Linked DNA regions of Rattus norvegicus. The protein of the gene in region 2 binds, or shares a complex with, the protein of the main gene of each other region. Links are inferred from orthologs where the notes say so. Each region holds a gene or a part of one and is shown on either strand. Other genes may lie near its edges.

The links.
Region 1: the proteins of Sec31a (region 2) and Pdcd6 are in contact, whole or in part, in a crystal structure (PDB 3WXA), measured with the Homo sapiens proteins. The link is inferred for Rattus norvegicus from reciprocal best matches to the Homo sapiens genes SEC31A and PDCD6. Residues at the interface, in NP_001070675.1 of Homo sapiens: Asn837, Pro838, Pro839, Pro840, Pro841, Gly842, Phe843, Ile844, Met845; in NP_037364.1 of Homo sapiens: Val31, Val35, Leu48, Ala51, Leu52, Ser53, Asn54, Gly55, Thr56, Trp57, Phe85, Trp89, Ile92, Gln96, Phe99, Phe148.

The regions. Positions count from the first base shown.
Region 1 is NC_086019.1:30,793,514-30,797,904, reverse strand, and holds the start of Pdcd6 (programmed cell death protein 6), read right to left. Parts: upstream 2,801-4,391; 5' UTR 2,679-2,800; coding exon 2,578-2,678; intron 1,951-2,577; coding exon 1,889-1,950; intron 1-1,888. UniProt on the Homo sapiens protein: Calcium sensor that plays a key role in processes such as endoplasmic reticulum (ER)-Golgi vesicular transport, endosomal biogenesis or membrane repair.
Region 2 is NC_086032.1:9,532,126-9,535,939, forward strand, and holds part of Sec31a (protein transport protein Sec31A), read left to right. Parts: intron 1-72; coding exon 73-168; intron 169-1,774; coding exon 1,775-1,915; intron 1,916-2,869; coding exon 2,870-3,012; intron 3,013-3,814. UniProt on the Homo sapiens protein: Component of the coat protein complex II (COPII) which promotes the formation of transport vesicles from the endoplasmic reticulum (ER).

The DNA.
Region 1 (4,391 bases), on a different chromosome or scaffold from region 2:
CTGTCAAAGCCTACCTACCTAATATTGTAATAACACAGTAGCTAATGTATAGATTACCATTATACCATTAGGTGACAGAAAACCACCAAGATTTAGAGCGGTCTCTTGACAACAGCATCTTGTAGTCCCCACAGGTTAAATAATAAAAACCCTGTCAATTCCAGCCACTTTTGCCTAAGGCAAAGGTCACTCTGAAAACACAAAGGAACCAAGAATGTCTAGCCTAAGTGGATGGCAGAAGTGGCAAAAGCTTTCCTTTAACTTTGATGCCCAGGCTATGAGGCACTACCTCGCATCTCACCTGCTTCCTCCCTTTATCCAATCACATTGCAAGAAAATGCTCCCCATTAGAACAAAAATGAGCCTTTTAAAATTCCCATCACGTCTTCCAAGTAATCCCTTTCCAAGTTTATACAGCACACCTGAGGGAAAATAACCCCCAGATATAGTAATTAGAAAAGCAAGCTACGCCTAAAGAATTACAGATGACATCTAATAAGAAAAACGTGTCGAGAGCTGTGGATGAACTCAGTGGGCAGGGCGTTTGTCCACTGTGCACGGAGTTCTGGGTTCTACCCTCAGTTCAGAATAAACGAGCACCAACTCAGGAGTTAGGGGCAGGAGGATCAGCAGTTTAAGGGTCATCCTTGGCTACATAGAAGTTCAAGACCAGTCTAGGACTCTGAGTTGGTCAAAAACAAAGAAAGGAGGGGGCGGAATGGGAGGCTGGAGAGAACCCAGCACACGTGTGGCTGCTGCACAGGACCCAGGTCTGATTCTCAGCAACTACATGGTGGCTCGCAACCATTTATAACTCCAGTTCCAGGGGATCAGATGCCCACTTCTACCCTCCACAGGCAGCAGGCATACTCTTGGTGTGCTCACACACACACAGGCTAGTCAAACATTCATACAAATAAAATACATAAATCTCAAAATTAAAGAAAAATGTTTAAAGAAAAAAACTGTCTCCGATGGTACCATGAAAGATTAATGATGCTGACACCAGCAAGGACATGACTCCATGGAGAGCTCCAAACGAAGGCCACAATCCTCTCATTTCTGCTGGGACAGTGTTCCTCACGTTATACAAATACCTCCCCATGCTCCTGCTGCCAGCACTTCCCCTATCTCTAGTTCCCAAAATGGCCCCAGAGTTGTAATGTTTGTTTATATATATAAGACTATATATTATAGTCATTCTTAATTTATAAAAAATATATAATAAAATATATAATCTTTATAATAAAAATAATCTTATTATGTTCATTGGTGTGAGGGTGTCACATCCTCTAGAACTAAGTTACACACAGTTGTGAGCATCCATGTGGTTGCTGGAGATTGAACCCAGGTCCTCTGGAAGAACAGCCAGTGCTCTTGACCTCTGAGCCATCTCTCCAGCCTCCCCTCCCCCCACCGTACCCTCCTCCTCCTTTTTAAGTCTAAGCAGTCTTACAGCAAATGTGTTTCCACAAGAGTACCTAAGGACCATCTTGAAGCCTTTCAAAACACTAAACAATTACTTCTAAATTGTCACCTGACTATTTGTCAGTGTCCCTGATGATCCTCTTCAGAGCAGTTGCTAAGACTGATAGTAGGTCAAAGGCCTTCTAGATAAGCAAGGGACCTCTGTTGCACAGAGCTAACCTTAACTCTCCCGCAAGGCCTACACTGTAGCTCCCATTTCTCAGAAAGCAGTTTCTGAGGCTCATATACATTTGTTCTGGAGCTTGGCGAGGCAACAATAATGGTACTCAAGAAAATACGGTCACAGTAGCTTCAAACACCTTTACTTATGGTGGTAACGGCAGTTTAGTCTTAAGGACTTCCTTGGAAATAACTCTAGGAAGGAAATGGCTTACTGAGAATGGATCAGGCTTCAACTCACCATTGGATAATGCTTGCTGAAGTTCATTGTCTGAAATCACTCCGCTCCTGTCTTTATCAACCCTACCAAAAAAAAAAAAAAAAAAAAAAACAAGACCAGGTGAGTTGGTGATTAAAAATAAAGGAAAAGTAAAACAGCCGAAAACGTTTCTCTTAGCTCAGCTGGAATGTAACACACCCTCCTCAGGTGTGCCAAGCATTAAGGAACAACGAGAAGCAGTATGAGGGGTTGAATCATCTTTTCTCTATTCCCTCTCAAGCCTTTAGGTTCTTCAAATCTGCTTAATTTACACCACCACCAGTTCATGTTTTTCATAATAGGTAAAGATTCTCTAGGACGAATAAGTCATTCTTTGGCACGAGTCAGCGGAATAACAATCCAGTCATTCAGAAGGACAACCAGGGACAGAAGTCATGCAGTAGCAGTCACCTCTTTTCACTGATGCCGTTTTCCTGACTCAAGATTTGTCCTCTTTCTAACGCAAGCACCCCTGATCCTGTAGGGCGGCTGGTCCGCCCTTCGGCCCTGAGCAAAGTAACTGCCAACACGACCTTGTGCTACTACAGAAGAGAGGAAGCCGGGGATGGAGAGTAAGAAGGACTGGGAGGGAGGTCTTGGGGGTGGGGGGTGGGAAGGACGGGAGGGTAGGTCCTGGAAACGGAAGACTGAACCAAGAGCGCCGGCCTCACCGCTGGAAGACGTTCCACAGGAAGCTCTGGTCTGGCAGTGCAGCTCCAGCAGCAGGGCCAGGGCCAGCACCTGGGCCTGGGCGGTAGGAGTAGGCAGCCATGGGCTGATGCACAGCGGTCCCGCGGCCCAGCTCCAAAAGCTGTGCTTCCGCCTCAAGTCAGGGGCAGAACCAGGAGCCCACAACTTCCTGGGAACAACGGAAGCGCGTGCCTTTGAGTCACTTGGCAGGCGTGGTCAGTTGCCACGCAACGTCTACAGGACCTTGGGGTTAGTCTGAGCTCCGCCTCCTACTCAGCCGGAGGCGCCTTGGGTGTCTCTTGCCTTTTAGCCCTACCCTGCTCCGCCCTCCTACGTGTCGCACCCTGGAGCTTCCGCAGGTGAGCTCAGAAGAGAGCACACCGCGAGGGCCTCGCCCGAGCTTACAAAACGTCTCCACCTGTAATGGAAAGTGGTGAACGCTTTCACTTGGATCGACGGCTTCCCTTTCTGCATTAGTATTTAGTGCGAATGTGATGTGCACCAACCGCATGAAGTTCTCAGCGGAAACTCAAGAGTGACATTTTGTGCACTCTGGAGTTTGTCCATCTGTTTATAGATCACCTTCCCGCCTTCCCACTTGCATATATGCCCAGTCTCCCTAGGTTTGCAGTGACTTCATTTGTAAATGGCCCCAGTGAGATTTGGTCCTGAGGTGAGACCTTTGTGTTCTCTCCACCCCTTAATTGGACTTCTGTATTTTTGGTGGTAACTCTTTTTAATTACAAGCATTCCTTTCTTCATTCGATACTAATTCTTATGGTGCTTTTATGGTTTGGAATGCCCCTGAATGGGAGAATGCACAGCATTGGGGCAAATTCCAACCGGTCACATTCTTGTGCTGCCAGGCCATCCTTCCACCTGGATCTGTATGCTGTGAATAGTTCAAGATACAGGTTACTCCGGTTCTGCCACAGGATCATTCCAGCCTTCATATTCCTCATCCAGGGACGGATTTATCATAAGAACTGCTATGCTCTTTTACGGGGTTTTAGTTTGCTTGCTGAGGGTGAAGAGACCAAGGGCCAAGAATATGGCCTTGTACATCTGAGACTTCCATGAGGACAACCATCCATTATTTAGCACAGATAGGGATCTCTTCAACTCACAACTGTATCGTTTTCTGCTCCATTTTTCTTGTTCTTGCCCATGAGGTATCTACTTGAAAGATTTTCAAATTCTTCAAAGAAATATCTTATAGCTTTGACATTTGCCTCAAAATCTACAAAATTCTTTAAGAAAGGTAGATTTTCTTCCATGGTTTGGTAAATTCATTTTTTAAAATTTTCTCATAAACTGTTCATCTCACTTGTTGAATATAATCTTCTAGGCTTTTCCAGTTCTTTTATTTAGAACCTGAAATCCATTTTTATTCTGTCCCATCTCTGGCTCCTTTTCTCTTTTCCAGAACTACAAAAATATTAATAACTTTCCTACTCGAACGGGAAGTTCTCTAGTACAGAGAAACTTACTTCACAGACCCGAGGCTGCTGCGTTCGGTACTCACTCCATTAGCTGCATGCTGACCTTGGAATGCTATAAAGGCACAGTCCCAGGGAGACCACTTTCTGCAACAGCTTACCAGTAGCTGTCTTTCAGGCACCACCATCTATCTCCTTACCCTATCTCAGGTTTAGTTTCCTCCTAACCAGGTCTGTTCTAGGCTTTCCAGGAGTAGAGAAATAAATGAGATAACACTGTTCTCCTCCTATGTTAATCATATCATGTGTCTGCATATTGGGCCATCCTTCCTTTAGCCTAGTTCTCTGAGCTACTT
Region 2 (3,814 bases):
TAGTCAGCGTGTTGGTTTTTAGTTACTCTGGGTTTTCCGTTATTTGTTATTTGGTCATTGTTTCTCTTGCAGACCAATTTGGTGGCCTCTGGTGCTAATGAATCTGAAATCTACATTTGGGATCTAAACAATTTTGCAACTCCAATGACGCCAGGAGCTAAAACACAGGTATCATGTTAACTGTTGGTCAGTGCAGTCAAGGAACCAAAAAGCTGTTCATTTAAACACATTTATGTTAATTTCCAGTAGCACGGTAAAGTATCGATAAATATGCTTCTGTCTTATCAAGTGGGTGCAGGGAAATCATCCTGGTTTGAAATCAACTTGGAATCCAGCGTGAGGCCTTACGTGACGCTGGGTGGGGGTGCATGCCTTTAGCCTCGGCACTCAGCAGGCGGGGCAGCCAGATCACACCAGCCCAGTCTGCATGGTACGCTCCAAACCATTAGGGCTACATAGTGACGCCCCGCCTCAAAGAATAAAAGCAAAGTGCAGTGTTTCTTCAAAGTATCTGTGAGTCTTAGGGCAGTGAGTCCTCATTCAGGGCCTGCCAACCGCCAGCATTGTGGTACCAGGCCGGAGAACTAGACCGAACAGATAAACAAACGGCCAGCAGCTGTCTCACAGGGACACGATGGTCTCTGAATACTCGCTTTCACCCATACTCAGACCGATCCACTTTTCCTGTGTGCCTCATGTAGGCTGGGTAGGAGCTTCTTCTGCTCTGTTTTTGAATTTCTCATTGTTGTGTGGATCCCAGTTGCACTGGCTGCTCCCCATACCTGCTCCTACCATTTTGAGATCTTGAAAGGTGGCTTCATGACAGTATTCCACTCCTTACGAAGGCATATTTCCTGTAGTCCAGCCTGCCGTTTGTGTCTGCCTATTTGTAGGGCACATTCACCAGCCACTGTGTGGTCTGTGGTCTCTATTGCACTATCATCAAATAAAGAAGCAGCTTGGTTTATAGCAGAAACTCAACAAATGATGTCGGATGAGGCAATAGGAAACAATGTAGTTTTGAAGTCATGTATGTCTCTGTTTAAACAATATGGTAGATGTGGTGAATGTGATAGGAAGGAAATCAGTGGAGTAAATGGGCCTCATTTTTAAGTACTAGAGTTTTCTTTTTTTAATAAAGGATCAGCCAGGCATGGTGGTACAGGCAGTAAACCCCAACAGAGGCTGGCGGCTCTCTGAGTCCCAGGGCAGCCAGAGCTACATAGTGACACCCTCAAAAGAAAAGGAAAATAAAGACAATAAATTAATAATATACAAATAATAAATGAAGAATGAGAATTTATAATTAAGTTTGTTTTTTAATTTTTTTGAGACAGAGCCTTACGATGTCATTCTGGCTGGCCTAGAACTCAAGAGATTGGCTACCTCTGCCTCCAGAATGCTGGGACGACACGTGTATGCACCACATCCCACTTTATAATTAAATTTGAGTCTAGTAATACCCTAGGTACTTTCTGTTGCTGTGATTAAACAACTGGAGGAGGGAAGGGTTTGTGTGCCTTACGTGTCAGGATCCTCGTCTGTCTGTCTGTCTGTCTGTCTGTCTGTGGGAGGTGACGTGCCTTGCCTGCTCGCTTACTCCAGGGGCAGCACCTTTGCATCAGTCAGCAGACCAGAAAGTGTTGTGCAGCCGCACCGTGCCCTCAGACCCCTCTGATGTGCACTGGCAGGCTCCTCCTGCAACTCCAGTCTCTCAGGGTGACACAGTAGCCAGCACAGTAGTGAAGTGGTTTTCGATGTTTCTCCCTAACAGCCACCAGAAGATATCAGCTGCATAGCCTGGAACAGACAGGTCCAGCATATCTTAGCATCAGCCAGTCCCAGTGGCCGGGCAACGGTCTGGGATCTCAGGAAAAACGAGCCTATTATCAAAGTCAGCGACCACAGTAACAGGGTGAGTACAGAATGGACGCGTGACGAAGCACGTAAGATTAAAATCCTGTCTTTATCCATCAGGTAACAGTGGGATGGGGGTCACTCCCTTAGTGAGCATAATTACACACCCAGTGTTTTTCAGCTTTTTAAGCACTTTATTTATTAATTTTGTGTACGTGTGTGTGTGTGTGTGTGTATACACGGGTGCCATGAAGCACATGTCGAGTTGAGAGGACAACTTTTGGGAGTCTGTTTTCCTCTTTTTACCAGGTGGGTCCCAAAAATCAAGCTCAGGGTGTTGGGGACTTAGTGGCAGGCACCTTTACCCAGGGAACCATCTTGCTGGCCTGGTTTTTGTTGTTGTTGAAGTTAAAACTTAAATATTTCTATTGCATTTATCTTATCCCAGCATTTACCATTTTGCTAAAGACAGACACACTTGACTCCTGGGCATGCTGTTCCTAATTAACGACCATGGAGTCGTTAACTTTAACCCTGTTAACGTTAACATTTCTCAGAGGAATGTGAAAATATGTACATTATTATACAAACCAGCTTTGTGCCCATAGCAGCCATCAACACTTTACTTGTGAAAGCCCATGTCCTGTTGGCCCTGTCCAAAGGCCGGGAGCCCTGTCATTTCACCCACTCCAAGGCCATGCCAGACTCCAAACACAGAGGTCTCCTGAGACCATTGAAAAGCACAGATAATTACATCATGATTCATAACAGTGACAAAATTACAGTTATAAAGTAGCAGTGAAAATAATTTTATGCTTGGGGTCACCACAGCGTGAGGAACTGTATTAAAGGGTTGCAGCATTAGGAAGGTTGAGGACCACTGATGTAAAAAGTTCAGAACTAGTCTGAACTGGTCCTTTTTCCCGTTCATTTTGTAATGACACAGTCCTCAGCTTTTATCTCTGCTTCATAAAGTAACATGATGCTGAGATGTGGGCCTTGCTGTCTGCAGATGCACTGCTCTGGGCTGGCATGGCACCCTGATGTCGCTACTCAGATGGTCCTTGCTTCTGAGGATGATCGATTACCAGTGGTCCAGATGTGGGATCTTCGATTTGCTTCCTCTCCCCTCCGGGTTCTGGAAAATCATGCCAGGTACCGTGCTGCTGTTTCAGGGAATTTTGTTTCTTCATATTTTGTTCTAAAACATTTACTCATTTTTATTTTAAGCAGTCGTCATGATTTTCTCTCCAAAGTGGAAGATAGATCTTACCATACTCACATGAATCCATTGTTAACGATTTCCCCCCACTTATTCAAATAATGAAGCAGGACATAGCGATGTGTGACTGTGGCCCCAGCACTTGGCAGGTGGGGGCGGGGAGATCAGGAATTGAGAACCCCTCAGCTCCACAGTGTGAGGGTGGCTACAAGTCACCAGAGTAATCAGTCAAACTGAGTCTGTCAAAACTCAGACAGCTCTTGACATGGACCACGGACCTCAGAAAGTGGGATGCCAGGCAGGAGCAGTGGAGAAACTGGCTTGACTCTGGTTTCAGTTTACTTTAAAAGTGAACATTTTTGAGCCGTTAGTGTTAAGTAGATATTCTGAAAACAGGGCTTTTCTCTTTACTATGTTAAGTAGATATTCTGAAAACAGGGCTTTTCTCAAGTTCTGGTGTCCTTACAGTTCATTAGTTAGGTAAGGTTCTTGTCATTGACACTGAGGTACTAGTAAGTTTATTTAAATTAGCTTAAATAAGAAAATTCCTTTTACTATTGTACTAGTTTCTAAGTCCTTTAGGAGTTTCTGCTTCTCCTGTTTAGTGAAAGGCAGACTGAAGTTCTGTCCTTTCCCCCTCTCCTATGTAGCAACCTGTGAAGGAGAAGGTCTTGAAGTTGGTATCTGTCACTGGCTCATAAAGGAGAAGAATCTGGTCAGAATGTATTCTTTGTT